Linked DNA regions of Schizosaccharomyces pombe. The gene in region 4 interacts genetically with the main gene of each other region. Each region holds a gene or a part of one and is shown on either strand. Other genes may lie near its edges. The genes, in order: yar1, SPOM_SPAPB1A10.05, SPOM_SPCC1494.08C and wwm2.

The links.
Region 1: mutations in wwm2 (region 4) and yar1 together harm fitness more than expected from each alone (negative genetic interaction), as found in Schizosaccharomyces pombe (one large-scale study listed by BioGRID).
Region 2: mutations in wwm2 (region 4) and SPOM_SPAPB1A10.05 together harm fitness more than expected from each alone (negative genetic interaction), as found in Schizosaccharomyces pombe (one large-scale study listed by BioGRID).
Region 3: mutations in wwm2 (region 4) and SPOM_SPCC1494.08C together harm fitness more than expected from each alone (negative genetic interaction), as found in Schizosaccharomyces pombe (one large-scale study listed by BioGRID).

Annotation. Positions count from the first base shown.
Region 1 is NC_003423.3:1,904,727-1,912,360, forward strand, and holds yar1 (ribosome biogenesis protein Yar1), read right to left. Parts: upstream 3,028-7,634; 5' UTR 2,947-3,027; coding exon 2,506-2,946; 3' UTR 2,299-2,505; downstream 1-2,298. Other genes in the region: SAGA complex, phosphatidylinositol pseudokinase subunit Tra1, read right to left, coding at 1-692; ubiquitin-conjugating enzyme Ubc7, read left to right, coding at 1,073-1,261, 1,658-1,715, 1,765-2,018; ribosome biogenesis protein Nop8, read left to right, coding at 3,406-4,842; AP-1 adaptor complex mu subunit Apm1, read left to right, coding at 5,454-5,515, 5,591-5,696, 5,767-6,414, 6,493-6,957; fmo1 (flavin dependent monooxygenase), read right to left, coding at 7,410-7,634.
Region 2 is NC_003424.3:1,863,302-1,871,767, reverse strand, and holds SPOM_SPAPB1A10.05 (uncharacterized protein), read right to left. Parts: upstream 4,929-8,466; 5' UTR 4,634-4,928; coding exon 3,749-4,633; 3' UTR 3,517-3,748; downstream 1-3,516. Other genes in the region: dhx37 (ATP-dependent RNA helicase Dhr1), read left to right, coding at 1-205, 253-3,516; geranylgeranyltransferase type 1 alpha subunit Cwp1, read left to right, coding at 6,160-6,836, 6,888-7,095; protein dpc13, read right to left, coding at 7,311-7,353, 7,408-7,796; mRNA export receptor Nxt1, read right to left, coding at 8,006-8,334, 8,387-8,405.
Region 3 is NC_003421.2:2,337,908-2,346,058, forward strand, and holds SPOM_SPCC1494.08C (uncharacterized protein), read right to left. Parts: upstream 4,728-8,151; 5' UTR 4,477-4,727; coding exon 3,652-4,476; 3' UTR 3,497-3,651; downstream 1-3,496. Other genes in the region: trm732 (tRNA methylation protein), read left to right, coding at 1-3,391; transcription factor TFIIH complex subunit Tfb6, read right to left, coding at 5,149-5,530, 5,599-5,690; transcription factor Adn3, read left to right, coding at 7,460-8,151.
Region 4 is NC_003423.3:199,588-207,942, reverse strand, and holds wwm2 (protein wwm2), read right to left. Parts: upstream 3,485-8,355; 5' UTR 3,295-3,484; coding exon 2,473-3,294; 3' UTR 2,222-2,472; downstream 1-2,221. Other genes in the region: alpha,alpha-trehalase Ntp1, read right to left, coding at 1-865; protein wwm3, read right to left, coding at 4,976-5,407.

The DNA.
Region 1 (7,634 bases), 1.7 Mb from region 4:
GGAGCAAGTAAAGGAAGCATTTTCGGAATAAGATCTTTGTATGTTTGAAATAGGAGAAAGACGATAATGGGAAATTCAGCAGTGACCTTGAAACTCGAAGAAGCTTTTGGGATCATTTTTGGACCTGCATGTTCCATTCCAATTTCAGCAGGAGATGCAGAAGATGCAGCAGACATGGGATGAGAGGATGGAGTATTCGGAGCTGATCTAGGTGGGAAAGCTTCTGAAACAACTGTGGTCATGGATTTGTAGTTTTCAACGACAATGGATAAAAATTCCTGAACATGTCCCTTAGCAAGGCTACTGTGGTCCTTAAAAAGAAGGACAACAAGCTTCAATGCCAACACTGCCATCTCTTCATTATCATTAACGACTATACGAAGAAGCACGGCAAAAGTCCGATTAACGAATGCTTCAAAACCTTTATAGGATCCAGATTTCTTGAGCAATTCAAGCAATGCAATGCGTAAACGATGTGTAGCTGCTAACGATGAAAATACAGGACGTTCCTTTTCAAGCAAAGACAACGTGTCCTCCAAAAGAGGAATGAAAGTTTCAAAATTCGTCTTTTCAGTTACCAACACATCATCCAGTGCATCTCGAATTTCAATTGCTGTGTTTGCCTTTTGCTTCGAGTCTAATCCAACATCACAAAGCCGATTATGCCAATGTTCGCATTGTGATACATCCATCAGATGCTTGGATCTCTGCGCAAGCTCTTTTTTAAATTCCAATTGCACTCGGATACGTTTTCCTAAGTATTTAACAATTACTATTGGAATGTTGTGGGATAGAGCAAGCTGCATTTCTTTCCTCTAAATCACTTTATGAATTTTACATGTTTTCGCTATTTTAATTAACGGCCTTATTATTTTGTGCGGTAGAAGTTGCTAAAATGATGAACGAGATAAAAATAGCGAGTGATACCACAAAAGTTCGTTTAGCCTCAGCTGCATAATTTGTCGTAAACAAACCATTCATTCATTAATCTGTTCATTACCATTTTTAGGCTACCTTTTAGTCAGTGATCTTTAATATATCTTACCGATTAGTAAGTTAATTGATTTCCAAAATGAGTAAAGCTATGGCGTTGCGACGGTTAATGAAGGAGTATAAGGAGTTAACGGAGAATGGGCCTGATGGTATTACTGCAGGTCCATCGAATGAGGATGATTTCTTTACTTGGGATTGCCTAATTCAAGGCCCTGATGGAACTCCATTTGAAGGTGGGTTATACCCTGCTACCTTGAAATTTCCTTCCGTAAGTCCTTTACTATAAACCTGATGGAGACTGAACATGTGATTTAAGTTGTGGATAAGTATGATGTTTCGCATGTTTTATGTATCAACTACTTATTAAAAAATACGCGCTCTTTTTCATAAATTAACATTTGTTCAGCGTAAATAAAGAAAGTAACTCAATAATCCATTCGTTTAGAATGATCATTTAAGAGAAGTGCTTTTATTCATTAGTAATTGATGAATCCTTCGATTTATTGATGAGTAGGAAGAAATTTTATTTAAAAGATCTATCTAAGTTTTTTTTTGGGGGTTTGGTTTCTTTCTTTGAATCGCATGGCAGTACATCCGGGGTGTTCAAGCGCACGTTGATACGTGCTTAGTTTTATTTTTATTGGATTCTAACTTTTTTATGTAGGATTATCCTCTTGGCCCCCCTACTTTAAAGTTTGAGTGTGAATTTTTCCATCCAAATGGTATGCCAGATACTATTAATCCAAATTTCGAGACTAACCTTCATTTCAGTTTACAAAGATGGGACGGTTTGCATTTCCATCCTACATGCACCTGGTGACGATCCAAATATGTATGAGTCGTCTTCAGAACGTTGGTCTCCTGTTCAATCTGTTGAAAAAATACTGTTATCGGTAATGTCGATGTTGGCGGAACCAAACGATGAAAGTGGTGCTAACATCGATGCGTGCAAGATGTGGAGAGAAGATCGAGAAGAATATTGTCGTGTAGTTCGACGATTGGCTCGTAAAACCTTGGGATTATAACCATGAATTGTATATTTGATTAGATTGCCATGAATAACGAACCTGATAAAATCTAGAAATAAAGTTTTGTTCCATTTTTGAACGCAACCGGTAGGCTTTTCTCTTTCTATTCCAACGTATAACGCTACATAGGTTTAATTACAAGGTTTAAACAAAAATGAAAGCACTTTTCCAATTCAATTTCTATCTGTAAATGATGGAAGATAAACATTTTGTCTATTGAGATAATCCATCTTTTAATAAACATCACTTGAACTTTCTACACAGATACATGGCAACGTACATCGCTGAAAACGAATTATATTGAGAAAACATCTAGAAATTACACAGTAAAAAACTTAACAAAATATAAGAATAACCCCAAATTATGCTCCAAAAGAAAAAAAAAATGCATCAGGTGCATAAAAATATTAGCTTCCCACAACCTACAAAAGAAAGAGGTAAATTTTTTTACAAAATAAAAATCAGAAATTATCAAATAAAACGATCATATTCCATCTTCCAATTTTTCTTCATCACCAGTGTTTTCTTCACTACCTTTAGCAATCTCAAAATCCAGAAAAAGGTCCATTACTTTTTGCTGATTTCGAATATCAGCTTCATATATAGGTGACTTCTCATAAATATTCTTAATATGAGGATCACCTCCCGCTTCCAGTAGTAATTTGCAAATTTCAGCATGTCCATTCAGTGCTGCCCAATGCATTGCGGTGTTTCCACTCTCATTCTGAGCATTTATTACTTCTTTATTCAAGTACGGGATTATTTTTTGAACAACAGCGATGTGTCCATTAGCACTAGCCATATGAAGTCCAGAGTTACCATTTTCATCACGACGACTTAATTCTTGTGGACATTTCTCTATAATCTCATCTAGTAACTCCTCATCCGCAGCTCTACAAGCGTAAATTAAATCATCAACATCCATATTAAACTATCCAATCCAGTAAAGAAGGATGTTTTACCGGTTTATTTGGAAAGAGAATGATGTGAAAACTGTTCGTTTGTTAGTGTAAGGTAGCCGCGGCTTCTCCAACTTGGCTTCGGCAAGGCCGTGGTTACTTACTACACCACAAATTCCATTGCAATTTTATATAATTATTCAACGAGAACCTGCCTTCTACAGCAGGTTAATTTTTGATTTATAAGAAGGAGAAAAAGAAGTTACAGGAGTGTTTATTTCCGAAAGTCATAGAGATTTAAACCAGTATATATGCTTTCCTTGTAAAAAATTTCATTGCTCACACAGCTCTCGATTCCTCATCTAAATAGCTATCTGGTAGCGATTGGTAGACTATTTTTTCGGGTTTATTTCCCATTATATTTCAGACACTCTTTTTGACCTGCGAAACTTTTTGTCCTCATTTTGTATCAATTGACTTCAATAATGGAGTTAGAAAAACGGATTTATGTTGGTGGCCTTTCATCCTCTATTGAATCTTCAGATTTGGAATCCAGATTTTCTCGTTTTGGAAGTGTTTCAAATCTTGAAATTATAAACAAATCTACTCCAGTAGGAACTATACAACGATTTGCATACTTGAATTTTCGAACAGATGAAGATAAATGGCAGAAATGCAAGTCTTACTTATCAAATGCGACGTTTAAAGGAAGTAAACTTCGTATAGAGGAAGCTCGCCCTTATTATTTAGTAAAATTGCAGCAGGAAAAAAAAATTGCTGATCTTCAAAGTACTAATAATGATGAGAAAAATGAAGATCACTCCAGCAAAGTTGATCTGGAAGACCCAGTCTTTCATGGAGAAATAATTGTTCCCGGAAAACATAGTAAAAATATGCAGGTGGTCACGGATTCTGATGTTCGGAAGGATCCTCCTAGAAAAGGTTGGAAAAAAGGCCCCTATGGAAGGGCCATTGTCGTGCTTCGAATGTATAATAAAAATACTAAGAAAACGAGGTTTTTTTATCCGCTGGGTAAAAACTGCTTACAAAAACTATGGGGCCGAGTGGAAACGAATATGGACAATACTACAGCTTTTTATGATTCTGATCATGATGAGTATGTATCATATGGGGGTAAGAGAGCTTCTCGTGACAAAATACGTATGCAAGCAAAATTGGGTATCAAAGCTTCTACTCAGAAGGATGATAACGATTTTGAACTTCTTAATAACACAACTGGGGAGATTGAAGTCACAAAAGAATTAAACGAAGAGCAATTGGATGCTTTGCGAAAAAAAGATAAGGATACGGCTGCATCTGTGTTAGCTGAACTGTTTGGTTCTGAAAATACAGAAGAAATTGATACCGTATCTAAAACTTCAGGTGTTTTGGAACTGGACAATGATTCGACTAATAATTTCCAAAAAGAAGGTTTGGATGAACAAGATAATTTACAAAAGGAAGAGTCCGTACACATAGATGTTCCTGCTGAATTTGAAGCATTTGATGAGCGTACTGCTGTTGTTAACGTTGACAATTTAAAAGAAATGTTTTCTTCCAATGCGCAGGATACGTCTAAGTTTTCTCTTTTTGGCAATGAAAATGGAGTTGGTGAGGAAAGTGAAATGGAAAGTGAGATTGATGACCGTAATTACGAAACTATGGAAGAAGAGGCAGATGGGGAAACTCCGCTAGCTATAGTTAAAGCCTCATCGGGTACCAAGGGTTGGCCAAAAATGTTTACTCTACCCAATCCTTCTTCCCTATTCCAACCAGGTAATGAAGATTATACGAGCAGAGAAGCTCTTGAATCCTGGTGGTCGGAAAATCGTCTATTCTTAACTCGTGATTACAAACGAAAAAGAAAAGATGCCGTAAAAAGACAGCGAAGGGCTCATGAAAAGCGTATTCGACTTGTTTAAAGACGCGTATAGGTTATGTATTTATTGGGAATTTATTTGGGTATTTTAAGGTTACGAGGTATATATTGATTTTTTACACACTTTTGGAATCTTTACGTTGTTATTTCTCTATCCTTTTTATTTTAGAAAAAAATCTGTGTCTTTTTAAAAAGCCACGATGTTCACTTTGGTTTTATCATTGGTGAAAGTTAACAACTTTTTTCGTTGCACTTTCTTGGGATTTGTGGCTTTTAATATTTACAATGTTTGAGATCAAATTTTATTAAAATATTTGTTATTCTTATTGTTATAAGCCAAAGTTGTCAAATAAAACATACCGAAATTTTCTTACATTGTCAGAAAAATTATTTTCCTTTTCGGCATTTACAAAACCATATAATGTAAATTAGTTATAATTATCTGAATAGATTATCTTATAAAAGAAGACTGAATGTGTGCATAGAGTAGTAATTACTCAATATAAGAAGAATTTCGTACTATATGTAAGAAACAGAAATAGTGAATTACGCTGTATTACACTAGCGGTGCTTAGGCACGGTGATGAGGCAGCCAACAGTCAATGCTAGTTATCCAGAGCGAAACTAGCTGCCTTATTCGCGGCTTCTGTAAAAATGGCTTCTGCTATATTCGTTCTGAATTTAAAGGGAAAGGTAATCATTTCCCGTGATTACCGGTAGGCAATTTTGAAATCTGAATGAAAATCAGATTGTCGCAATTCGTCGACAGGTTACTAACAGAAAACAATTAGAGCTGATATCCCCATGTCAGTAGTTGAAAAGTTTTTACCTTTAAAATCAGAAGTTGAAGAAGAACAAGGATTCTCCACCCCTTGTCTCACTCACGAAGGCATTAACGTATGTAAAAGTTAGATATTATGAAAGCCAACAATTCTTATTTTTTTATGGTCGTACTAACACTTTTCAGTACATTTACATTCACCATAATGATGTCTACCTCCTTGCTTTATCCAAAATGAATTCCGATGCAATGGAGATGCTAGTATTTTTGCGTAAAATGGCGGACGTTTTTATAGATTACTTTAAAGAATTGCAGGAAGAGTCGATTCGAGATAACTTTGTTCTTGTTTATGAATTGTTAGACGAGATCATGGATTTCGGTTTTCCACAAACAACTGAAACAAAAATCTTGCAAGAATACATCACTCAAACCTCAAATACGGTAAAAAAGCATGCTCCACCCCCCATTGCTATGACAAATGCTATCTCCTGGCGTTCTGAAGGAATTCACTATCGTAAGAATGAAGTATTTTTGGACGTTATTGAATCAGTTAATTTAATTGCTGCTGCCGATGGTACGGTCATTCAAAGTGAAATCTTAGGAAAAGTTCGTCTCAAATGCTACTTATCAGGAATGCCTGAACTTCGTCTTGGGCTCAATGACAAGGTCCTTTTCGAAGCGGCTGGTCGTACCATTAAAGGAAACACTGTGGAAATGGAAGATGTGAAATTTCACCAATGTGTTCGTCTTGCTCGATTTGAAAACGATCGTACAATTTCGTTCATTCCTCCTGATGGCGAATTTGATTTAATGTCCTATCGCATGAGTTCAAATGTAAGTTATTAGTTTGTGCCTGTTCTTTTTATTCCCTCTCTCCTTTATCAACGTTTTCTAATATTAATTTCTCGTTAGGTACGGCCATTAATTTGGGTTGAATGTGAATCCATCGTGCATTCAGGTTCGAGAATTGAGTTTATGGTAAAAGCTAAGGCTCAATTCAAAAAGCGTTGTATTGCAAATAATGTCCAAATCATCATTCCCGTTCCGGAAGATGCTGACAGTCCTCGGTTTCAAACTAGCAATGGTCATGTGCAATATGCACCTGAACAAGCTGCCATGGTTTGGAACATTAAGAAATTTGCAGGTGGTAAAGAATTTTTCATGCGTGCTGAAATGGGTTTACCAAGTGTTAAAAATGAAGATATTCAAGTTCAGAAAAAACGTCCTGTTCAACTAAAATTTGCTATTCCCTATTTCACTACCTCAGGGATCCAAGTTCGTTATTTAAAAATCACCGAACCAAAACTTAATTATCATGCTATGCCTTGGGTTCGATATGTTACACAAAATGGTACTGAATATTCCATCCGTCAGTAAATGTTTCTAATGATGGTTCTCCGTTCCGTTCTTTTTTCTACCTTTAGATACCTTTCCCTTCATCTATATATTTGTTTTCTTAGTGTACTGATCCCATTTATTACGAAATGAAATCTTGTTTGCAGACGCGCTAATCCTTTTTCTTACTCAGCTGACATAAAAGGAGCATTTGCTTGAAACATAAATGTCTAAGTCTATTTATTGTATAAAGGATAAGTTCAATGTTTTTATTAAAACAGAAATAAAGATTTTCTAACATACAATTCCATTTACTCAGTAGTGAATCTCCGTGTATTAAAAATACATAAAAGACAGATTGTTCCAAACGGTTTTCTAAACATAATAAATTAAAAACCAAAAGCGAGAGAATGAGAGGGAGACCGGATAGTAAGAAAAAGATTGAAGGGAAAAGTTTAAAGGTCTAAGGGTGTAATGAGTTTTCAAGTACGTATTTACTTTGGAGGTTCAATTCCGAAAAACTTAGCACGGATGGACCACATGTTTTCACGGATGCTTCGTTCCTTCTCGCCCCAATACGGTGACGGAAACTCTTCTTCAAGAACAGGTGTAGCCTGTTTACACCAGTCGTGTAGCTTGTTAATGTAGGTAGCGTCTTTTGGATAATCCAAAGAGTGATACATATTATTTGCTCCACTCAGCGAAAACATTAATTCGTC
Region 2 (8,466 bases), on a different chromosome or scaffold from region 4:
ACATCGTTCTGTGAGGGAGCAAGAATCTTCATCTGAGGTGCATGCCAATCCTGAGCCAGATAATCAAGATTCGAATGCCGAAATACTTATTGATGTTCCTAAAGAAGAACGTCAGAAAAGAAAACAAGAATTGAAAGATCAATTGTTGAAGGAAAACGAAGGATCTATTTCTAGTAAAAAGAAAAAACGCTTGGATAAATATATCGTAAGTGTGTCAGTTTCAAAAACGTTTTTTACTAACAACCTTATTAGGAAAACAAGCTTAAAAAAGAGGAGGTAGCTTCACTTATCGCAAAGTTAGCAGAAGAACGCATAGACACGTCTTTACTTTCGAGTTCAAAGAATTTAGGGAAGCAAGCCACTGCAAAAGAGAAGTTAAAGAAATCACTCTTGGAAGAAAAATTGGGACTTCCATTATCTGACGCTGATAGCCGACTTTACAAAGTTGTTGACGTTGAAACGACAACTACAAAGAGCAGTACAGCTGAAACCAATGCTCCAGAAAAGTATTCTACCAGATCTGGTTTTGGGTTTGGTTTTTCCACAGGAACTAATGAAAGTGAGATTACTCCTAACATTAAAGTCCTTCCTCCTAAAAAGAAAAAAAATGCTTCTTGGGGTAAAATGCTAAATGAAGATCCCGAATATGATTCTGCTGAGGAAGATTATTTAAGTACAGATAGTGAGGAATTCTCAGAGGATTCTGACAACTCTTCAGAAGAGAATAAAGACACTAACGAGCCTAGTACTAAGGATGCAGAAAAAACGGTGCCTGAAGATGTAGTTAATTTACGCTCAGAACAAAAATTACAACCCTCATTTGGACATCCTGAATTTGAAAATGAAGATTTTGATTTAGAGACCTCCGAAGATGATTCCAGTGATGACGCTACCGAGCGGGCCTCTCGATTTAAGTCTTGGGCAAATAAACAGATCCTTGGAGCAGATGTTGGAGAAAAAAGTCATGATGTGGCTCCTGACAACAAAATTGATAACCCTGATGCAGATATGGTTCGTGCCCAGCGCATGCCTCGGAAACTTAAAATGCGTGAAGAGGATGTTGAACCCACAGCAGACGATATCGAAATAAAGGGACGAAAAACGACTTATACTATTATAAATCGTCCTCCTGAAATTCAAGAAAGTAGATTAGCTTTACCCATCGTTGCTGAAGAGCAAAGGATTATGGAGCAAATTTTCGCGAATGATGTTGTTATCATTTGTGGTGCTACTGGTAGTGGTAAAACTACACAACTTCCTCAGTTTCTCTTCGAAGCAGGTTTCTCCTCTCCTGAATCAGAGAATCCAGGAATGATTGCTATTACACAACCCAGACGAGTTGCTGCCGTTAGTATTGCCAAACGCGTTTCTGAAGAACTGACTGGTTTTTCTTCCAAAGTTAGTTACCAAATCAGATTTGACAGTACAATCAATCCGGATACCGCCATTAAATTCATGACTGATGGAATCTTGCTTCGAGAATTATCCTCTGATTTCCTTTTAACTGCATACTCAGCAGTAATTGTAGACGAAGCTCACGAGCGAAGTGTAAACACAGATATTCTATTAGGTTTGTTAAGTCGAATTGTTCGTTTGCGAAGAGAAATGAGCAAAAGTGACCAAAAAGTCAAACCCCTTAAGCTTATAATTATGTCAGCCACGCTTCGTGTTACTGATTTCTCTGAAAATAAACTTCTTTTCTCTGTACCGCCTCCAATTATTAAGATTGATGCACGACAATACCCTGTTTCTATTCACTTTAATCGCACAACAAAACCTGACTATCTTCAAGATGCATTTGATAAAGTATGCTTAATACACAAAAGACTCCCGGCAGGCTCTATCCTTGTGTTTCTGACAGGTCAACAAGAAGTTGAGCAGCTTTGCCAAATGTTGCGAAAGCGGTTTGTACGCTCTTTTAGGCCTCTAAAATCTCGTGCACGCATTGTAGTATCGAGAAAAACTATGTCCGTTGAGAACGAGGATTTGCAATCTGAAACAGAAGATATAGATCAAGTGCCTACAAGTTCTTCAAGTTCTGTCACATATGATGATGAATCTGAACCTATGTATGTACTTCCTCTTTACTCTTTGTTAACTACCGAAGACCAAATGAAGGTATTTGATTCATCGCCAGAAGGTCATCGTATGTGTATTGTCGCTACCAATGTTGCCGAAACATCTATTACCATTCCTAATATTCGATACGTTGTTGATTGTGGTAAGGCAAAAGAGCGCGTGTATAATGAAAAGACTTCTGTTCAAAAATTTGAAGTACGATGGATTAGCAAAGCAAATGCTGATCAACGTGCTGGTCGTGCTGGTCGTACGGGACCAGGTCACTGCTATCGTCTATATTCGTCTGCGGTGTTTGATAGCTCTTTTCCCTTGCATTCTTTGCCTGAAATTCTGCGTACTCCGGTCGAAAGCATCGTACTTCAAATGAAAAACATGAACATTGATAACATTGCAAATTTCCCCTTTCCAACTTCTCCAGGTCGTAGTAGGCTTGAAAAATCGTTAAAACTCTTGTCAAATCTAGGGGCTATTGATAGCGAAGGGGTTCTTACCAAACTAGGAGAACAAATGTCCTTATTTCCTCTGTCTCCTCGATTTTCGAAAATGTTAATTATTGGTCAGCAGCATGGTTGCCTACCTTATGTTATTGCATTGGTTTCAGCATTGTCTATAAACCAGCTTTTTGTGTCAAAGCAATCTCTTTTATATGATGCTCATGACAAAAATTCTCGTAGCGAAGAAACTGATCTGATTGATGATGACGAAATCAAGCAAAAGGAAGAATATAAAAATAGAATGCGTGGATACTTTAATGCAATATCGAGATTTCAAGCTATAGACCCTGATGCGCCTGCCTTGAGTTTGTTAAGTGCTGTGTGTGCGTATGACTATGCTTCTGATAAGAGAAAGTTTTGTAAAGAGAATTATCTGCGAGAAAAAGCATTGGAAGAAGTCACCAATCTTCGTAAGCAAATTATTGGTCTACTAAAAAGATATATGGTTAGAGTCGAAAAAGAATTTTTCAAGTTACAGCTTAAGCCTCCAACTAGTGTACAAATTAAAGCACTCAGACAATTTATTGCTTCTGCATATATTGATCAAGTTGCTCTATATGATAAAGAGAAGCGTGGATATGTTACACTTTTCCCGTCTGGTTCCGAGGTTGTTCAATTCGTACCTGATAGAACTTATAATATTGATTCTGAATATGTTGTCTATCTTAGTCTACATGAAAGCAGAAGTGGTCGTGTTTACATGTCTCCTTTAACTGAAATCAGCCCAGAACATTTGGCTAGACTTGCTAAAAATACTACTCTTTTGTCTTACTCGAAACCCCTTTCATATCCACCAATTCGGTACCTGGATAATGCAACAAAACGAGAGTGCTGGGTTATTCCTATTCTAAGTGCCAATATTGGAACAGGATCACCTTCGTGGAATCTACCAGCCGTGCAAATCATACAAAAACGGATTAATGGGCGTTGGGTGAATTGTTAATTTTATCATTTTGTTCAAGATTTAAAAAGAAATTTAGAAGAAACAAAAATTTATTGATGACAGTTTTTCTAGCTAGATTTTTTAGATTGATCACATGTGATTTTGGTTATATTAGGGACATAAATAATAATTTGGGATACGGTTTTTGATATGAGATTTGGAACTTGGGATGCAAAAAAAAAAATAATAATAAAGGACTCAAAATTGTTAACAGGAACATAAGATATATTACTTATGTAGATGTCGAAGGGACAGCACCTCCCATGTCAATATCCATGCTATCATGAGTAGGTAGATTAGACATTTGAGCAGAATGAGTGGAATTAGTAATGGGGGTATCGTTGTTATTCATAGGATCATTAAGTTCATCATAGTCATCATCAAGCTCTTCAATAATGACCGAACTATTCGGTTCATTGACGACTCCATCGTAGGTATTATAATGTACTGGTTCTTCAACCGTCCATGAAGGATGGACTTCTGTAGGGTGATACTTCACTAGTTGTTTACTATCTGTAGGATAGTAATGTGAAGCAAAATGCCAAGTCGTTGGGTAATTAGAATTCAAGGAAGATATATAAGGATGTGCGGATTGAATACCAAAAGGAAGCATCTTCAAGCGATGAGGATGTCTAACGAGGGATTTTGATACGGCACTCTTGTTTCGATCATCATCGATATCTTCTGTTTGCTTGTCGAGTATTTGCCCTGTTGCAAGGTCAATAACTTGACCCGATTTGTCAGGATGATCGGACTCTAAAGATACTCTCTTTCGAGCAATTTCGTTCCACTCATTATTTTGTGTACTAGGAACAAGGCTATTTTGAGACGGCTCAATAACCAACAGGTCTTCTGCCCTTGGTCTTTTTTTGCTAGTACTAGAATTCTGGGGAACCAAATTGTAAGGCAAACTACTGTAAGGAGTTTTGAAGGCAGGAGGCGTGTCTGGAGTTATGTCTGATAAAGCGGCTTGTTTGGAAGTTGGGACAAAAGAATGCAATCGCGGTCGTTTCAAAGGAAAGTTTAAATGACTAACTTCTTTAGTTGGAGTGGTCGTACTGTTTTCATTTTGCAACGGGACAGATATCATAGAGTCTTGTGGTCTTTGACGCTTCATGGGCGAAATGCGAGTAGTAAATTAAAAACAAAATAATGTAAAGACAACAAAAAGTAATAAATAATGTTTGAAATGAGAAAAAAATCTAAATAAATCTGTTATGATGTTTTAGTCTAAAACCTAGAGGTAATACAGACTGCCGTAGTAACTTCCTTTAGTTCTAAATTATTTCGGTAAGTACAAACCCACAAACCCGTTCTCAAAATTGAATTAAAAAACACCGACAAATAAAGATCAGTTAATTTTTGAGTTTTTCAATTCAATAAAATTTCAGTCATCTATGTTGGTGAAGGTTGCACATTATGAGCTAAATCTAAATTTCGTCTAGTGCATGAAGTCAAGCATAATTAACCATCTAGAAAAATCCAGCAAAGTCGAAAACATTTAGAAGTCATTGCTTTCTTAGAAGACACGTTTTAATTACTTTTAATTAAATTTTTATTAGCGCAAATTCTGGTTGGTCATATATTCTGTAAGGGAAAAGTAAGTAGTAATATAAATTTGACATGACTTTTCAAAGCAGCTTCGAACCCTTTTTAAGATGTTAATTTAATTTACTGAATATTAATGGAAGGTTTGGATCAATTAAAAAATATTAAAATGCTTTAAATGCTATTATTGTTGCAACATTTCATTGTAAGTATATGTAAATAATCGGAATGTCAGATTTCAACTTAAGAAATTAAAAATTGAGTAGATCAGGAGATTATAAAGAAATAATTTGCTTCGGCATTGCTATATATTTTTTTGGAGATACTAACAAATGACATTTCATGACTCTGGTGATTAGGTTCTCGTTTTAAACTAAAATAATCATTGAAACGCATATCAATATATTTTTCTATATCGTGTTGTTCACCAGAAGCCTTCAATGCTTTATATAGGTGTTCAAATAATTTGCATGAATCTCTTTAATCCTCATCAGTTTTAATCGCTAGGATGCTGAAGATACAGATTTCTCATAGGCAATTTGTAATCACTAGTCATTCGTTTTGTACGACCAAAGCGCATCTATCCGGACAGGACATGAATTAGGTATTATTATAAACTCACAACATTTCATACTCTACTTAAAATTAGATGGGTTTTGCAATTACTTGATGTACTTGATGTTTTTTTTATTGTGCTCAAACTGAAAATATAACACCGGTTTAATTAATAGGCAATACTGAAATACCACGAATTGGTCGGTGATACTCATATAACCTGTACGTTTGAAGTTTTATGAATATACTCCGTTGCCTACAATAAAATTAATAAAAGACTATGATAAAAGTTTGAAATAAATCACATATTGTAAACATGGTAATCCTAACTCACTATTCATCTACTTACTCTCCTTAGTTAACCCACCATCACACCTGAACAATAGTACGCACTAAACAAAGAGACTCATTGTTTTTCGAGTTGATAATTTAGAAAAACCTGACAATCCTTTTTAATAAAACACTTATAATTAAATTTTCGGCCTTTAAGTATTTGTTTCTTTGAGTTGAGAATTGTACAACGGATGCCAAATTAATGAAATGGATCCCATTGATCCCGAGTTAAATGAAATTTTGGATTTTACAGAATATGGACCATTAACACCCATTCCTCAGGATGATGGCGAAAACCCATTAGCGAAAATTTGCTACACGACAGGATATGAACAAGGAATGGCTTATTTTCGTGCCATTATGGCTAAAAAGGAGTACTCCTTGAGAGCACTTAATTTAACAGGTTTCTTGATTATGAATAATCCAGCTCATTATACAGTATGGGCTTATAGATTTCAAATCCTAAACCACACGCCCAGTTACATAGACAATGAATTAGAATGGCTCGATGAAATTGCCGAAGATTTTCAAAAAAACTACCAGGTTTGGCATCATAGGCAAAAAATACTTTCTTTGACTAAGAATTATGAGCGTGAACTTGAGTTTACGAAAAAGATGTTTGAAATTGACAGTAAAAATTATCATGTCTGGTCCTACCGAGTTTGGATCTTGCAAAATTTTAATGATTATTCTCAAGAGCTGAAGTTAACCAACGAATTATTGGAAAAAGACATTTATAACAATTCGGCTTGGAATCATAGATTTTATGTTTTGTTTGAAACCTCCAAGGTGGTTTCTTGGTCTTTGGAAGAGGAACTGAATTATCTGAAAGACAAAATCCTTTTTGCTCCTGACAATCAGAGTGCTTGGAATTATTTGTGTGGGTAAGTATCTCTCATTTCCATTAATTACATTCTTCATTAACTTTTTTACAGTGTACTTGACAAATCAGGACCTTCAAAACTTGATAATCTCATAGCTAATCTCCGAAAAAATTTGCCTGCTTTACACAAGCCACTCTTAGAGTTTTTAGCTATGTACGAGCCTTCGTCGTCTGAAGAGATTTATCAAAAACTAGCAAATGAGGTTGACGTACCGCATGCCGCTTTATGGACATGGATGTCCCAAAGGAGCAATCCTTAAATCTATGCTTTGAATGCTAATTGGGTTTACTGATATTTTGATAAAGCATCTTGTTTAAAATTCCTACTAATTAAGAAAGTAGTTGTGATGTATAGTGAATCGTTTATGAAATCAATAACATTAGTCATTCCTCCAATTGTAAGTTTCACATAATAGTGAACAAGTAATGGTTATTAGGCCAAACAAAGAATAAAAAAAATGTCAGAGGCATATTTTTACTTTTCTTTCTTAAGGTTTCTTCGAACAAGTTCCAAAAATCTATAGATATGTTAGTGTTCGCACAATCAATGGAATACATTCAAAAAAACATACGCAGGATCATTTTGAATTCCAGATTTTTTAAATATCTCCGTGATAGTTTCAGCTAACTGCTTGAATTCCGGATCACGAGTAATCTTTAGGATAGTAAGAGGTGACGGTTTTGAACCAGCTTCAAGGCCGTATTTCTCAAAAAACTGACGAAGACGGCCAACCTTTTGAGCAAGTTCCGGATCATTAACAACTAATGAACTCATTTTCTCTTCAAGTTTCTGGACTTGCTCATCCATTACTGGATCCTTGAAAATAGTGTCGTCAGGTTGCGTAGTCGCACTTCTCTTCCATGTTAATATACTAGGAAACCTATTCCTATACAGAAGAGCATTGTTGTATGTAAGAGGCCTTCTGATAGTCAGCTGAGACAAATACTTCCAATATTTCATATTTGTAAGGTGGTGGTTAATTTTGTGTTCTAAAGAAGTATGAGGGATTAGGGAATGTGTCGCTCAGATAAGCTTGCTGCGGCAAATTAATACAAACTCTAAACGAAATGAAATCTTTGTTTTGGATACGTATTATTCACTCATAATTCTAAAATTTTGACTGGCAATATAATACTTTGATTCTTCCTGTTGTAGAACTATATTGTCTCTTAAAGGAAGTTAGTAGAGGATCTTAGTACAAGAAGGTAAATACAATAAAAACTGACATACGAAAATACATGAGGTTTTTTTCCATCGAAACGTATTGTTCCTGAAACAACAATTATGATATTCATATCATTACCCATGACCTGTTGACTATCGAAATCCTCAACTTTAGTTTTGGAGTATGGAAGATTAACTATCATAGAGGTAAATTCGGTTACTTGCATGGGTTTTCCATTCCATAAGATCAAACTATTTTCTCTGTAAAATTCTGCGATCCCATTTCTGTTCGTATCAAGAGATGAGTAATACCGTTGGACGAACTCCTGCGCATCTTTAATTGTTAGTTTATAGATAAAGCTTTAGTAATGCGGCATTTAACATACATTTTACACTCGACTCCATAATGATTCACAATGACAGAAATTTGTAGTGGTGTAAGTAGTCATTTAAACAGGTACATGTG
Region 3 (8,151 bases), on a different chromosome or scaffold from region 4:
AGATCCTGATTCTAGGCAAATTTTGCTCAAATCTATGCAAGACTTTTTCATAAGACTCCGTGCATCCTGCCATTCGATTGCTAGGACTATGAGGTCAAGACACAGCGATAAGGTGGCTTTGAGTGGTCTACTAGACCGTGCAATGCAGTTTCTAACTTCCTTTATTTCTGTTTGTAAAAAGCATTTATATCCAACTTGTAACTATCAACAAGTCCTGGTATCTTTAAGTTTTCTTGATACTTTAATAAGTTTTGGTTTGGACGATAACGTGGAATCTTCTTCAATAAGGGAAGCTCAACACGATTTTCCATTTAGTATGGTTATAATCGACAGGGATCTTAGCCGACTTATGATTGACCGTTTAAAAGACCCGTATGACGATATCCGCAATCTCTGCCTTAAGATTTTGCTTTCGTATAAATCTTTACCAGGGTTCATTAGTGATTCCGATGCCTATTTTCTTTTTAACCATGGCCTTGAATTACTAAATGCAGTTCGTTCTCATGAATGTGATGGTGGGGCTAAGACAATTTATCTTTGTAACCATTTTATGGAAAAATCTGTACCCGGAAGTGTTTTGGCTAACACTAAGGTAATATTAAACCGTTTGAAAAGTAATATTGAGCATGCAAAAACTTCTTTATTGGAGGCAGCTGTAAATTGTCCGCTTCAAGGTTATTTAATTCAGCTTACCTACATCTTCCAATCTTTGTCACCGACTATTGTGAAAAATGACAATGAGAGTTGGAAAAACATAGTAATGGAACTAATTAAGGCTTCGGAAACAATTTGGGGTCTCATTAAGGATGTATTATGTGACGACTCTCCAGAAGGTAATCTCCCGGATGGTGAAGGAGAAGGTGGTATTGTTTCTAACTTGGAAGATACGCCTGCGCAACTTATCCTCAGTTACTCATGGAGAAGTCTCAAGGAGACTTCAAGCTTGTTAACGGTTTTATTGACAAAGTGTCTTTCTCTCTTCGATGAGGAGTTTACTCCTTTTACATTAAACTATTACGGTGAACTAATGATGACATGGTTATGGGAAATTAGACATCGTGGTGCATTCACTAGTGTTTATCCTTGTTTTATTGAATATTGCTCCTTTTTGTTCGAATGCAACAAGCACGAAATTAGTGAGCTACCAGATCCATGGTTGCATAAAAATTTAAGTGTGATTCAAGAAAAGTCGTCTTTTATTACGAGAAGGAGTGGTGGTATTCCTTTATCTATTACGGCCATTCTCGTAGCCGGAAAGGATAAAAGAGAACAGCTGATAGAACAAACGGTTATTTCTTTGATTTCTATTGCCAAGCAGCCAGTTGAACAAAAGAACATAGCCGGACAGTTTGATTTGCCTCAAGTCCATGCAATGAATACTCTTAAGACAATTTTTACTGAGCATCGGTTGTCATCAGTTTCAGTTGAATATTTAGAGCCTGCTATTGCTTTATCCATTGAAGGCTTTTCCCATGAGTTATGGCCAATCAGAAATTGTAGCGTTATGCTTTTTACTGCTTTAATTAATCGAGCGTTTGGAAGTAAAAAACCTAAAGATGCAGTTAACCTCGGCAACAACAAAGGTCTTTCAACTAAGATGTTTTTCAGTAAGTTCCCAACATTACATGATTACCTACTGCGTGAGTTGGAGGTAAGCGTTGCATCTTTATCTTCCAATGACCAACCTAGCACTGGACTGTATCCAATTTTGAACATGTTTTCAAGATTGCAATACGCACAACCTTATGGTAATGAAAATGAATGGACTGGTTTAAGTCAGTTTGAGCCACTTATTTTCAAATGCACTGCTAGTAGAATTTGTAAGGTGAGAGAAATAGCGTCTTTGTCATTGACATGTCTACTGGATTGTAGTAAAATGACTACTTTTATTGTGAGTCAGCTTAAGGGCGTCGCCGGATTACAACAAAATGAGATACACGGAAAATTGTTGACCATAAGGGCAGTGCTTTCTTGCTTCTTTTCAAAACTCACGCTGCAGCAAGTTCAAGAATTTTATGAAGTAGTTCCGTTGGCTTTTATCAATTGCTTCTTAGAGTTTACCTCCAGCAAGACGAGTTTTTATGCCAAAAAATTATTCCTGGAAGTCCTTAACAGCTATTTCATGAGTAATACTGATTCAAATGCTAAACGATTACAACAACTTAGACGTATGACTATGGATTACTGCAAAAGGATGTTATTAGATAGGAAGGCTAACGTAACAAACGTCTTTAATACAATCGGGCTTCCTATACATCAACAAATGGCGGCCACTATATTTTTGGAGAATCTCAAAGAATTCTCAGTGTATTGTGATGCGCATTCAATTGGTTTCCTTGTATCAAAATTGTTGCACTATGAGTTCTATGAAGTCCAATTGACCACGTTGAGAAGCATTGTTGATTCGCCGAGAAAGAAGATAATTGTTAATAATCCTGAGATTTTGCAAGCTTTAATCAAATTAACACCACGAAACCAGTGGAGTCAAGTTAGAGCCCTTGCATTATCGTTACTTTCGGATTCCTTGAACTCTACAAGCTATAGGCTTTTAGGAATTTCATGTTCAGATATGGTTTCCAACATCCTTTCAAATGAATGCCTACCCATAAAAGAAAGTTTTATAGTATTATTGGGTTCATGCATCAAACAACTAAAAACCGAAAACTTCCTTGAGTACAAGGTAACCTTTGCTAAATGGGTAGAAATACTACTAAGTTATTCCAATGAATATCAGCCATTTAGCTCTCGAAAGGCCGCTTTGGATTCCATAATACATTTTGATTTGTTCAACGCAGAATCAACAGCTGAAGCGTTTTCTTTCGAATTTTATATTCTCTACTTATTACTGGGAGACTTCCTTAACGACGATGATGAAGAAATCCGATCTCTGGCTGCAAATCATGCTTATCAGGTTTTGGGGACATCTGCACAATGTGTAACAGAAATTTGGAATTTATGGAAGCTACGTACCAAGGCAACATTTGGAGGACAACACGATTTTCAACACTGCATCAATAAAAGATTGATACTTGAAGACGGTTGTGAATTAGCGTCAGTCCAATTGGATAATGCTTTATCGCGAAACTGTTCTTTGTTTGAAAGAGAAAGGCAAAATCTTTATTATTCAGACAACCAAAAGCTCGAAGATTTACTTTTCTATGCAAGCTACCCAAACGAAAAATTAAAGGACTGGGCCACTGATGGTATAAATGCAATTCTTAGCAGGTTCGAAGATGTATCCCGAGATGGGCCATTGGGTAAGACCTCGGACCCCAATGTATGGTTTACAATTTACAAAATAATTCGTATAGCCGAACATGTTCATTTACCGCTGGATAGAGTACACAGTTTAATGAATCGTATAGACGGACATCCTAGCTTTTGTCAATAATTCAATTCTGATATTTAATTTGATTTTGTTAATAATAAATATATTCCTTAAAGTGAATTAATAAATTATTTTCTTACTCTTACAATTTTTGCAACGATGGCTAAGGTAAATATTAGTATAAATCAACTTTTTTACACGGATGAATAATTACAACAACTTGGCAAACGTTATTATCAAGAAATGTGGTAACGAAAAAATATCGTATGCATATATACATATATAAATATAAACAAAAGTTCGAAAGAAAACAAAGGACAGCATTAGGGAAGTCTTTTGTTCAATACTTTCTCACTTGGAAGTACCCAACTTTTTTGCCTAATTTCCAATGATATTAAATCTGTATCGCCAGCGGCGTCTACAATATCAGCTATTTTGGGAGGTTCGGCCCATCCTGTTCCACCAAAGAAAATGTCGTCTACAATCTCTCTGGTGTCATACTTGTTATTTCGGGTATGCATATGGAACACAGTGGTTTTTTGATTGAAGTCCTTTATCGAATGAAGCATTTTCTCTGCCCAAGCTGAAGCAAGCCCAGTCGATGTGTATACTTCATCATCGCGCCGTTTTAGCTCTTTACCATCTGTCAGAAGACCCGTAAGGCCGCTAAATACTTGGGGTTTCCCAAGTGTCTTGCTTACTCTAAAGTCCTTATTACCGGATGTTTGCTTAAGGCTTATTCCAATACGTATAGTGGCATTGATTTTACTGTCAGCAAGCAAATATTTTCTAGTGTCTTGACCGACATAAACATATTCGGTCAAGTTGATCTTTAGAATACCTAGACGTATGACACCAGAATCTGTATGAGAATCACAAAGCACTTGTAAAATTAAAAATTTATCTTTTAAAAGGTTATCGTTGTCGATTATCATACGAACGGACACACAAGTCTCGTATTCCCATGTGACGCGATGCTCCAATACAGGTTCAGCCTCGGTTTGGTCATTGGCATGACGAGAATGGATTCCTTCAATATTCCATTTCACGAAAATGACTCCCGTAATTAACGGAATATTAACTACATCGTGGATCCTAAGGTGAAGCTCAAAGGTAGGTCGACGCGCCTTTGGAATAAATATACTCATAAAAGCTGCAAATGCAGTTTCCTTAGGAAATGCAAATAAAAGATTTAAGAAAAAAAGCAGTTAATTTAGATAATTGGTTCATCCAACTTTTACCTATGTACAGAATGCTCCAGCGTTCAATTCTTGAAAGTTCTTAGATTTAATGGATACAAAACACGTTTTTCATACAAAACAATAAATAAAACAGTGAAAAGAGGAGATAGGAAACTAAAAGCTGCAAAACAAAAAAAACCCGTTTTAGTTGTTGAGGTGAAATTTCCTTCTGACGTATCGAATCGCATACTGTAAATCGCAGGTAACGAGATCTTCCGTCGCAGGTAACAATAATATGAAAACTCCAAAAATAAACAGTAGAAGTCGATTTCTTGCCAAGTATAATTATTGTTTTCGTAAAGGATGAACAGCAAAGAGAACATACATTAACTCGCTATTCAATCTCAAAGCTCACTTTCTGGATTTGGGCAGAATGGAAGACTGAAAAGACATTTACGGCAAGATGAATGTGATTAAAAAGAAGAGCGGGTACAAAAATATTATAATCTTTCCGAGTTGATGGTTCTTTTTTTTGACGTTGCAATTGTTTTAAAATACCATCGAAGTCACAAATGGCTACCAAAAGTTATAGAAAATTAGTCAGTAAACGGAGAAATAATGACGGGGAGAACAAATGCATTAAAAATCTATGCTGTTCAAACTCTTCTCAAAAATAGAGGCACAATCCATTTCGTATCCTTGAACGTCGCTCAATTTTGAAATAACAACCATACGGCAATTCTCCATCAGACTTTTTAACCGTATAGTATCTGTAGTAGAAAGATTTCCCGATTGTATGAGCCTTAAGCAAAGAGAATCCAGTAGGGAAAATACCTTAAAAGTTGTCTCTGGGGAGGCCGGAAATCCAACAATAGTGTCGACAAAAAAGTCGATACCTCGTAGAGTGAAATTGGTTACGAGAAAAGTATGCTTTTCCAAAGGAATAGAAGATACCACCTGAAAGTATGGTTCCAAATCAAATGCTAATTCCTCTAATTTTTGATAGCCACCGGGATGGAATCTAACGATACCAATGTTAGCAAATAAAAAGAGTGAAGAAGACTAGGCAAAACGAATTGAAAAACGTACTTCTTTTGGTATTTTTGAGACACGTCTAATAAAATCTCATCCAGAAAGTCGCGCAACTTGTTTAATTGGTGCTCAGTTAATTCAAGTGCCATAGCTGAATATAGAAACAGAAATTCCCTTTCCAGGAAAAAAAAGGGTCAAGCGATATTGATAACGAACTAAAGATCGGAAATTAAGTTGCTAATTAATAATGCAACAACTAAATATACATGAATAACTATCTAAAAAGTCAAGGAAGCGTATAAGCTTATACAAAACAAAATTTAGTTTCTGAAGAAGAGTGACTAGGGAGAATAAAACTCAATATCGACAAGAAAAGCATTAAAACCTTATTTATCTAAAAAATCAGTGAAAACAGAATTCTGTTCGCTTTTCTATATGACGGTGATGTTTGGAGAGGAAAGAGAGTCAATGACGACGATTTAGGGGTATACCCATTTATCAACATTAACCTTCTACAAAAAAAGTTCTTGAGATAGGGCAATTTTTTGGAAGCCGAAAACACATTTTTTATAAGAAAATTGTCTGACCACCACCATAAGCTGAATTTTCTCATTATTATCATTTTCAATGTACCCTCTATAAAAGAATATTTATTGAAATGTCATCGGGTATTATGATTTAGCATGCTTGCCTTTATTCTGTTTACGATTATATTTAGGCCAAATATGTCAGGCGAGTAAATGAAGTAAAACATAGCAATGTTATTTATTTAGAAGGGTAATTTATCAGACGGATCTAATAAATGGAAGCAGTAATCGAGATTCCAAGTTGGTAATGAAGAAATTTCTTGATTACTATCTATAGGCAACTAGCTCCTCTTGCTTAGCAAGTTTTTAAATAGCTAGAAGTCATGAATAAGTATCCAACGATCCTTAACTAATGCGAGAAAATAGTTGATCATAATCGAACGATGCGAGCTAGATTCTAACAAAGGTATAAAGGGATATGATAGTAAAAGCGGAACGTGAAGCTTGGTCGATTAAATTCAAATGAGCTACTTAAGATTATCTGTAGCAAGCTGTTTACTTTCGGAAGGTGACTTAGTCTTTTGCCTTTCGTTTTGCAATATACAGAATATTAAATTATTTAATCTTCATAGCTGATATCTAACGTATATCGACTAGTTCAGTAGCTGTGATAACGAAGTTTAAACATATCTCAGTATTCGGATTTGGTTTGGAGGCACACACTCAAAACCGACTATTTACGGCTTTATTACTACTTTTTTGCCTAAGCCTTTAATATATCGATATTTGAGAAGATTCAAGGAACGAGAAAGAAAATTTTGTTTTTAAAAAGCATCGAGCCTCTCTGACTGCTACACTGTGCATTCAATTTGAACTACATTAAAGACAACAGCAGCGCTATCGTTTGAGCATAAGAGCACTCGAATTTTAACGACAATACTGAATTCTTAATCCTTCCATGACCTATCTTTTCATCTGTTAAAGCATATATATCTTGCTTGTGCAAAGAAAGGAGCCAGGTCCAAAAGTCCATTTGAATAGCGCGCATTCTAATCAACCATAATTTTAAGCATCCATTCCCAAAATACACCTTTTCCTCAAAAAATATCTGGTCTTATTTCCTATAATTATTTTTATATCAATCCTTACCTGCGGTTTTTCATTGCACTTTTCCTCTTTGGTTTTTCTTTTTTTTTGGTGTTATACGCTGTTAATTCATCTTTGTTTTCTTAAATCTCTTAGCTTTTTGTTTTAAATCTTTGCACTTTCCTTTACATCTTTATAGTGTTCCACATTCGTTTCGTTCTCCATATTCCCAGTTTGCTTTTTCGATTTCATATCGCCATTTTAGATAAAATTGATGACATTTATTTAGCGTCAAGAAAAATACAATGGCTGATTTCATGGACATAGAGCCATCCTCTCATTCTGCAAAAGCTTCTCAATACGAATCCTCGGCTCCTGCGTCTTCTTCACTGGGTAATTCGCATCCAAACGAGTCTCTGGATTATTATATATACGACTATTTTGTTAAGCACAACTTTGAGGAAGCCGCACAGGCTTTTTTACGAGAGTCAAAAATTCAAATTCCAAAATCTTCTTCATCTACTGCCTTTTCACCTTCCAACAATAACGCACCTTCACCTTTCCCCCCAAAGAATTCATCTTTAGCCTCTCCTAGCAAAATTTCTGAATCGATTTCTGGTGATCGACTTTACAACCACATGTCATCAGCTCCGTCTCCCAACAAAAAGGAAGAAACCAATGTCGTACATGCTAACGAGGACATTTCATTAGATAAACGCCAGTCATTTGGATCATCATCCCTTCCCCCTTCTGAAGTTTCTATAAATGTTCCCGAAGGTTTCTTGGTGGAGTGGTTTAATATTTTTTGGGATGTATTTAGTGCGCGAGTAAGTCGTGTAAATAGCACGCCTATTCAATTATATGATCCTTCTACTCAAAGACAAATGGCCCGTCCCATGTCTAACCTCCAAGCATCTCAACCTGTTCCTTCCTCCACTTTTTCTCGTTCCGCTGTTGTCCCCAATCCTTCTCTTCCTTTAAATCCTTCTGTTTTACA
Region 4 (8,355 bases):
CGTACAGTTCATTAAACCGGCCACCAGGAACGACAAATGGCACACCTCGAAGATGTGTATTGCCTTCATCATCTTGGTATTTTTCCATTGCAAGTGCAAGTAACCCTGGCTTATCATTTACATCTCTCACCCATTCTGGAGTAATCTCTTCCGGCAGATATTCGACCTGTAAATTCAAGTAAGGCCTTTCCTTAGCAGCGCGAACATAGTATTCATACATCTCTTGTTCGGCTTTAGGAACATAAATTCGATTCACGTGTGATCCTGATCGGTCTTTGGTATCACGGCAAATAACATCCAAAACACTGGCATCGATTCTTCGAGTAAGGGCATCCCAAAAGGTACCTTTGATGAGTCTAGAAAGTCGGTTCACAGGGTTTTCATTAAGTCTTCGCTCATCAAGTAAAATATATCGACGTCCATAATCCTTTGCCAAGGTCAATTCCTGAAGTAAATTTGACAATTGATATGTGCCGCGAAGCTCATACAAGCGATATCCACCCGAGCTAGCGCTGCCAAGGGAAACAACTTTAGGTCCGGTATCCTCGATGGTGATTTGCATGTTCCGGTCGGTGTCTTCAGATTCCAAAAGTGCATTCAATGTCTTATCAACATCAACAAGAAATTTTCGTGGTTGTTTATGTTCATCAAGACTTCCACGTCGACGTAAATTCTTTAATTCTGGTATAGTTGGTGCGGCGGATGCCTCCATCGAAGTGGATAAGGTGCGAGGACGGCCAGCACTTACCCGAGTCGACAAGTCTGTATCCTTGGAGTAATAACTCTTAGCGGTTGCAAAGGGATTGTCATCATCATTTGAAATGGCTTCTGTATCCACGTATTTAGAGGAAAATTTCGAAGGCATATGAAACAAACTTATTCGTGTTAAATATTTTCACTATTAGATCAATGTATATATAAACTTCTTTAAAAATGTATTTTTTTTCTCTTTATTGTTCCTATTCACGAATGATAGCAAATGATGGAGAACAAGGTTATTCCGTTGATGGCTTCCGTTTCCTTCACTACAAGCTAACGATATATCAAAAATTCAAAAGCTCCTACGAGGAATACGCTCACTTTCCAAAGCAATTCACAAGATAAAGTGTTTTTTTTTTTAAAAAAACAAAACAAAACAAATTCCTGCTTTTTCGTTCTAAGCTATAAAATAGCAAGCAAGATTTCAGAAAATCGACACTAATTACGTATAAGGAAAATCCGTGTCTTTAACTGAATTTGAGTAACTCTACCAAATTCTTAGTACCCCAATAGGTATAAATCGTTAAATCCTAAAAAAATTTTAAAAGAACTGCTAGTTTCTTCTATGTATCAGTCTATAATCCTGTCGTTGATATTTGTGGTTTGGAGTTGCTAAGTTCTCATACATTCTAAACCAAATTTACGCTGATGTAGTTCGTTACTCAATGACGTAGTCTACCTGACACCTATAGAGCTTATGGAAGTTTAAGGATGCGGCAATAGGATAGCAGCAACGGTGAACACCATCGCTATAATCAAAACAATGAGCTGAAACATAGAAAGAAGATACGAGAAAATTGGCTAATTAAGATACAACAGTAAAAAAGGTATATACGGACGCCTCTGAAACAGTTATCACTGATTTTAGTGGTACTATTGAGAAGGTAATGAGTTTTGTAAAGAACCACAATATTCCGTATTTTTTAACATTGAGAATGCTCTATTGACTCGTTATATACCACGAGATGAAACCCTATGTATGTGTAGTTTGAATGCGGCACTGTATGTTGTTCTATCGGTTTTTTTTTTAAACTTGCACTCTTCTGGTTTGAAATGATTTGGCTGTTATAATTACAAGTTGCAATTCGGTTAATTAGCGGTACTTACCTCTTCTATGTTAAGATAAACATGTACTTTTAATGAAGAAAGTATACAAATCTGACGAAGTATTGGGATAAAAGACTCTGAACTAACCGATTTACGCAATATTAATAGAAGCTAATCTGACAGCTTTAAATTTCAAATTTCAGATTGTATACAGCCAAAGTATACACGTACGCATTTCGAAGTAGACTGGGTTTGACGTGTGCGAGATAATGAACATAATAGATATTTTTTAGAATCTTTTAATACTTGCGCATAAAATGTTACGTATGAACAAGCATGAATTGTTTCCACAGCTATAGATACAGCACTTATGTTTACCTATATCTAAACTGTTGCATTGAATCATTCCTACATAAACCTAAAAAACAACAACACAGGGATATCAAAATTGCTTGCTTGCGAGCTTTTCTATGTGCACTTCTAAAATTGCCCAGCTCTACTTAATACTTTCAGAAAGTCCTACCTTAATAAAATTCAATTTCACTTTAGCAAAATAACTGAGTATAAACATAAAAAATTTTTTAACGGTATCGACTTAATATCTATTGCGCAATATACTCACATAAAAAGCTCATAAACAAATATTTAGTTCCATGTTTCTCAGTCTCACCAACCAGGACCGCCATGACCTCCAGGACCACCCCCAAAGCCTCCGGGGCCTCCTCCAAAACCTCCAAGACCGCCTCCAAAGCCGCCAGGACCGCCTCCGAAGCCACCAGGACCGCCCTCAAAACCTCCAGGGCCGCCTCCAAAGCCACCGTGACCACCATGATGATGGCCTTCACCTCCAAAGCCTCCAAAGCCTCCAAATCCACCAGGACCAGGAGGAGGACCGCCAGAACCACCACCAAAACCTCCGAAACCACCACCGTTATGACCACGATGGTGAAAGAGATTGCCAAGTGCGTGTGAAGCCAGGCCACCTAAGGCCAATCCACCTAACCCTGCAGCGACAGGAGCAACGTAGCTTGGTCTACTGTAAGAGTTGCCAGTGGTGTAGCCATTAGAAGAGGTAAGCCCACTGAACAGCCCTTTATCACTACCATCTGCATTGGTAGTGGTAGTGGCAGCAGCATTAGGATAGTATGCAGCATTGGTATTGGCAGGGGCATTGGGGTTATATGCAGCGCTGGTAGTAGCGGCAGCATTGGTAGTCGTGGCAGTGTTAGCATTGGCATTTGCAGCAGTATTAGCATTGTATGCAGCATTCGTATTCGCAGCAGAAGTATTGTTATTGTTATTATACACAGCTGTATTAACGCTTGTGGCTCCTGGAGGAGGAGCAAGTTTCAGATTTTCGACTGGTGGTTCCCATTGGGGCTGTGGATTTTGAGCTGACTCGTTAACATAAAAGTATGTTCCATATTCAGCATCCCATTGAGCAACCCATCCACTGGGCAAACCTTCACGAGTTTGATAGACAGACATTTTTTATATGATTAATTCTGTAAAGACACAGAGTAAAAACCTATATAAACGATATAGAGGCTTAGAAAGATTCTAACCAAAGAAAAGAAAAATGTTATAGGCAGATATTCAAAAATCACTCTCTAAGATCTATATACTTAATTTTTCGAGTATTAAAGATAGAAAGTTTTGGTGGTAAGCTGTATCTGTTAGGGAAAAGGAGAAATCGCGCAGTGGTATAGAACGATTATAAAAGAAATGAAAATCTGATACGCTACAGATCATTACATAAGAGGCTGATGTAGTGGTAGTAGCATTATGCAAATTTCGTTATTTTACTATATCGTGATTGCCCCAAACCATAATTCGTCATTCCTAGTTTACGAATTTACGAGTTCCATTAAAGTGGTATTAACGTGTTTTTAAAAGTACTTCACTAATTATCGAAAGCTGTTCATGGAAAATAGACTGCCAATTTGTTTTATTCAAACTCAGAATATCAGGGTTTCACTAATGCTGCTTGACTTGAAACATAGCTAATTGAAAAAGGAAAATTGCTCTTATTACCCTTTTTAATCGCCGGCTTTGCTTAAAAACAAACGGTTTTGCATTGCTATGAAAACCCTCGACATTCATTTGATAATTGCCAGGTACAAATTTACGTATCCTTACTGAATAATCGTAATATGAACAAATAAATGTTGTACCGTAGATAATATTTCTTAATTTTGAAATATATTAACTTTTCTTATTTCATTATGTGTATCCAAGAGCCAAGTTATATTTCTCTTATTTTAAACAGCTTGATAAATACAGGTTTTAAACGATTCAAATGATATCTGTTTGTCTTTTAAAATAGTGGTATGACATCCCATAAGTGTAAAAAAAATTTTTTTTCTTTCTGCCTTAATTTTTTCGGAATTGTGCATTTAATCCAAAACCAAACAAATATCTGAGTTTGCCAATTATATAGTCAGTAATACACCACTATAAACTATTCAACTAAAATACCCAAAAAAAAAGGACAACTAGTAATGAAAAAACAATGATAATAATAAATGAAAGATATATAATTGACTATTTTAAATCATGCATAATAAACTAATTTAACGTCTGAAAAAACAACCATTGATTTTTTAAAAGTTTCAAAAATTGTGCTTCACCCAATTTTTTACAATTAACCAAAAAAAAATATAAATAAATAAGTAAATACACGTCGAAGTGATAAATGCCAAAAAAATGATTCCATCGACAACCAACTCCGTCGATATTCACACCCATTATAATATATGCTCCTTACTTCTTTGGTATTAAACAGAAATTTTATAAATTAGACCGTTTTCCTCGAAATCCCAATAAAGAATGCAATGGTACAATAAATAAGGAAGCTTGAAACAAGTAAAGATCAGATGATAACAAAATTAATATAAGTAAACAAGAAATTAGGTCAAAGAACGACTAACAGAATATAACAATTTTAGAACGATTAGCAAAAATAGTATGAAATTTCAAGGGAATAAAAAGAACTTCACTGGATATCGTGTTTTCCATTTAACAATTTCGAAAGAGTCGTATACGTGAATTTGGTGATTCTATTCAAAGGAGAAAGTGATGTTCTCAAAAAAAAAGAGCGATTCCATAATCAACGACCATAGTATGTAGGACGAAATCGGAACCAAATTTAAATAAAAATCAACGCTTTTCATCTGCGGCCACGTCCACCACGTCCACCCATGCGTCCACCACCGCGGCCGCCGAAACCACCGTGAGGACCATGAAGTGGGCCATGATGGCCACCACCGATTCTTGGACCAAACAAAGGGCCTCTGGGAGGAGGAGGGGCGTAGTAAGCACGGTGACCACGAAGAACACTGCCGGCTAAAGCTCCAACCATGAAACCTCCTAATCCAGCCGTCATAGACCGTGAGCCGTCAGAAGAGCGAGGCACGTCCTTTTGATAGACGACGGTAGTGGTACCGGGAGGAGGAGGAATATGCAAGCCTGGAATAGGAGGCTCCCACTGTGGTTGAGCACCTTCAAACGTTTCATTAATGTAAAAGTAAGCTTGATAAGTTGGATCCCATTGGGCGACCCAACCAGCTGGCAAGCCCTTGTAAGTTTGATAAACAGACATCTTTCGATAAAGTAATTAATGAGAAACTGTAACTTAGAAAAAAAGAAGTAGTGAGAAGTAGAGTATGTCTGTTAAGAATTATTAATAGACAGGCACAAATGTCAAAAGAAAAAAAGAATTAGCAGCGAAGTAGAAACGGTATGTATAACAAGAAAGAATTTATGATCTCGTTATAGTAAGAATGAAGAAAAGATTAGAATAACGAATGCTTTGAAAATGAAGCAAGTAAAAAAAATGATTGATTGAAATTAGATTGACGAAAAGGTGAGGAAAACTCGCAAATAAATAAAGCTTTGCATTAGGACATAGCCGACGGACAATACGTCACTTTTGTGGGGAAATGATGAGTTATTGCGTAGTTGTAGTGTGGAAGCGAGTGCGATTTGAACTCTTTTTCTTCCATCGGAATAGAAAACATATGAGCGGGGCCGAAAGCTGCCGCAATCTATTTTGCGATTGTGTACCCGATATCCTAACAGCAAAGCAGTGAATTGGAAGATGAATTTACTACAATATCTGTAGTGTCTTTTAGTTACATTCAGAAAAGAAATTGATACGAAAATGTGCACGCTAAAAGCTCAAACCCATGTATACTTATGATCTTCCAATTGTACAAATTATTGCTATTTTCGCTAGTCTATAGATCGATCAGCCATTGACGTCAGCGCTCGTTTAGTATTTGAAAACAAACGCCAAGTTAGGTGTTTGTTTATTAATGTGTTTCTTTGGGTATATGAGTGTATGAAAATTCGACTCAAGCTCCTGTTAACACTTGATCTTTCTTTTGAATCGCGAATAGCATTGACTCCGATATCTCGGTTCAATTTTTTTGAGTAAATAGTAAACGTACGTTTCATAAAACTAACTTTAACAAAAAATTATCTACTTAGTGAATTAGTTCTCACTTGGATAAATACTTGTTTTTGTCAAGCTTTTAGCATGGTCAATTGATATCAAAAGGAACTCACTCCAAAAAAAATCGACCCCACTTGGGTCCATGAACCTCTCTTGTCTTGCATCTCTCAAGGACTGGATGGATGTGGGGGTTCGGGGAATCAAGAGTTTTCAATGGAGTAAGTGCAATCAAATAAATCAAAGCGACAAAGGATTAGAGCGAGGAGACGAGAAAAGATGGAAATACAATGAGTAAATTCGTATTAAAATTGATATCGTTTTAACGAAGGAAAAGAGAAAGTTACTCTACGTAGGTTTGCAAAAAAAAAATATATAAATGTAGATGTAGATGTAAAATTAATGTTAATGAGAAATTTGAAATTAAGGAAGCATAAATAGTATGGAGACATTATAGTTAATATGGACGATGAGTTAAAAGGAATAATTGGTTTAAGTGAAGCTAAAGAAAAATAAAAATAAAAAAATAAAAAGATGTCATTTAATATTAAATTTAAAAAAGACAACACACACATAAGAACTATTCAATAAAATAAAATAAACACAGTACAATAAAATAAAATAAATAACGATCTAACGAAACAGGAAAAAAAAAAAAAAATAATATATTACAAACAAAAAACAATCTCAAAAAGCTATCTTATAATTTGAGTATCCTAACCATAATATTTATTAACTCATATGTAAGTTTATCTTGGTAGAAGCTTTACCTTTAAGAATTGACTTCATTCCTACTCGCATCGCATTTGTTGCTTCTATTTTAGAGATAAAAGCTCTTTTAATTGAACTTATGCTTTTACCAACACGGCACGTGAATCAAGTTAGAATAATAGTCTAAATGTCCACAAAGGGTGGTTTCTCGTTCTATGAATAAATATAGTAGTAGCTTAGTGAAAATTCCACGGGACATTAGTTTATATAAGAATAAAAGTGAATGTATGAAAATTACATGTGAAGAATAAATTTGTGGTAAAATACACGTCTTTTAAAATATAGCTAATAGCACACATATTTTGAAGCATGCTTTATATCCTGCTCTTTCAATGCAAGGTTATTATCCCATTCTGAAGCCACATACCATCAACCCACGAAAAATCTCGTTAAATAAACAACACCAAATTTCCTTATTGCTAATAGGAAGGGCGGGATGAAAACAATCAACCTCAAAAATTTCTCCCTCTCTTTAATTACCTGGATGACCAGTCATTATAGAACGAATTTATTTTCTCCACTTCTTTCTATATCTTAAGGTTCATTTCTCCTCCTACTAACTACTCCATCCACCCACCCACCTTTAGCACTTCCCAATCATCTACGTCACAAAGCATTAGTACTCATCATCGAATTTCACAATTTCTGATTTTCGTTGCTGCATTCCAGCACACTACACTGCGCCATTTAGCTGTATAAGCCATGTTATGTTGATTCTGAGTTAACACAGGTAAGAAGACACATAAAGCCCACTTTAAACTTGAACTTGTATTCGTGTGCTCTAAAACGTACAACACTATACCAAAGCAGCACGAGAAAACAAGTTCAAGTTTAAAGAGACATAATAACACCTACAGCTACACAATGGCGATCAATCATACACAATTGCTAGACATCAAATCATAGGCAATTGGGGTCGATCTTATGTAATTGCTGTGGGTATGCAATTGAGGTCGGTGATGAAAGCAGCGGTCATGCTCGCCTCTCAATCCTTTACGAATGTATTAAGGGAGTGCCATGCCATGCCATGCCATTTTCTCAGTCACGTAAACCTCGATACGATACAAGCTCTAACCTTCCCATCCCGTATTTACGTTTTTGCAGTATTATAGGAAAGATGAATAGGGTGGAATGAGTCCGCTCTAGCAATCGTTTGGTAAGCCGGCTTCGTTGAATTGCAGTATGTCATTTGTTTAGCAGGCTGAAACAGCATTGCCCTGTAGTTTTCATTGCAAGCCCCTCGTTTTTTGAAGATTAGGTTTATCGTGTATGCATTTTTAATTAAGCGGATCACTCAGGTGGGCGTATGAAATAGGGATTTGCCA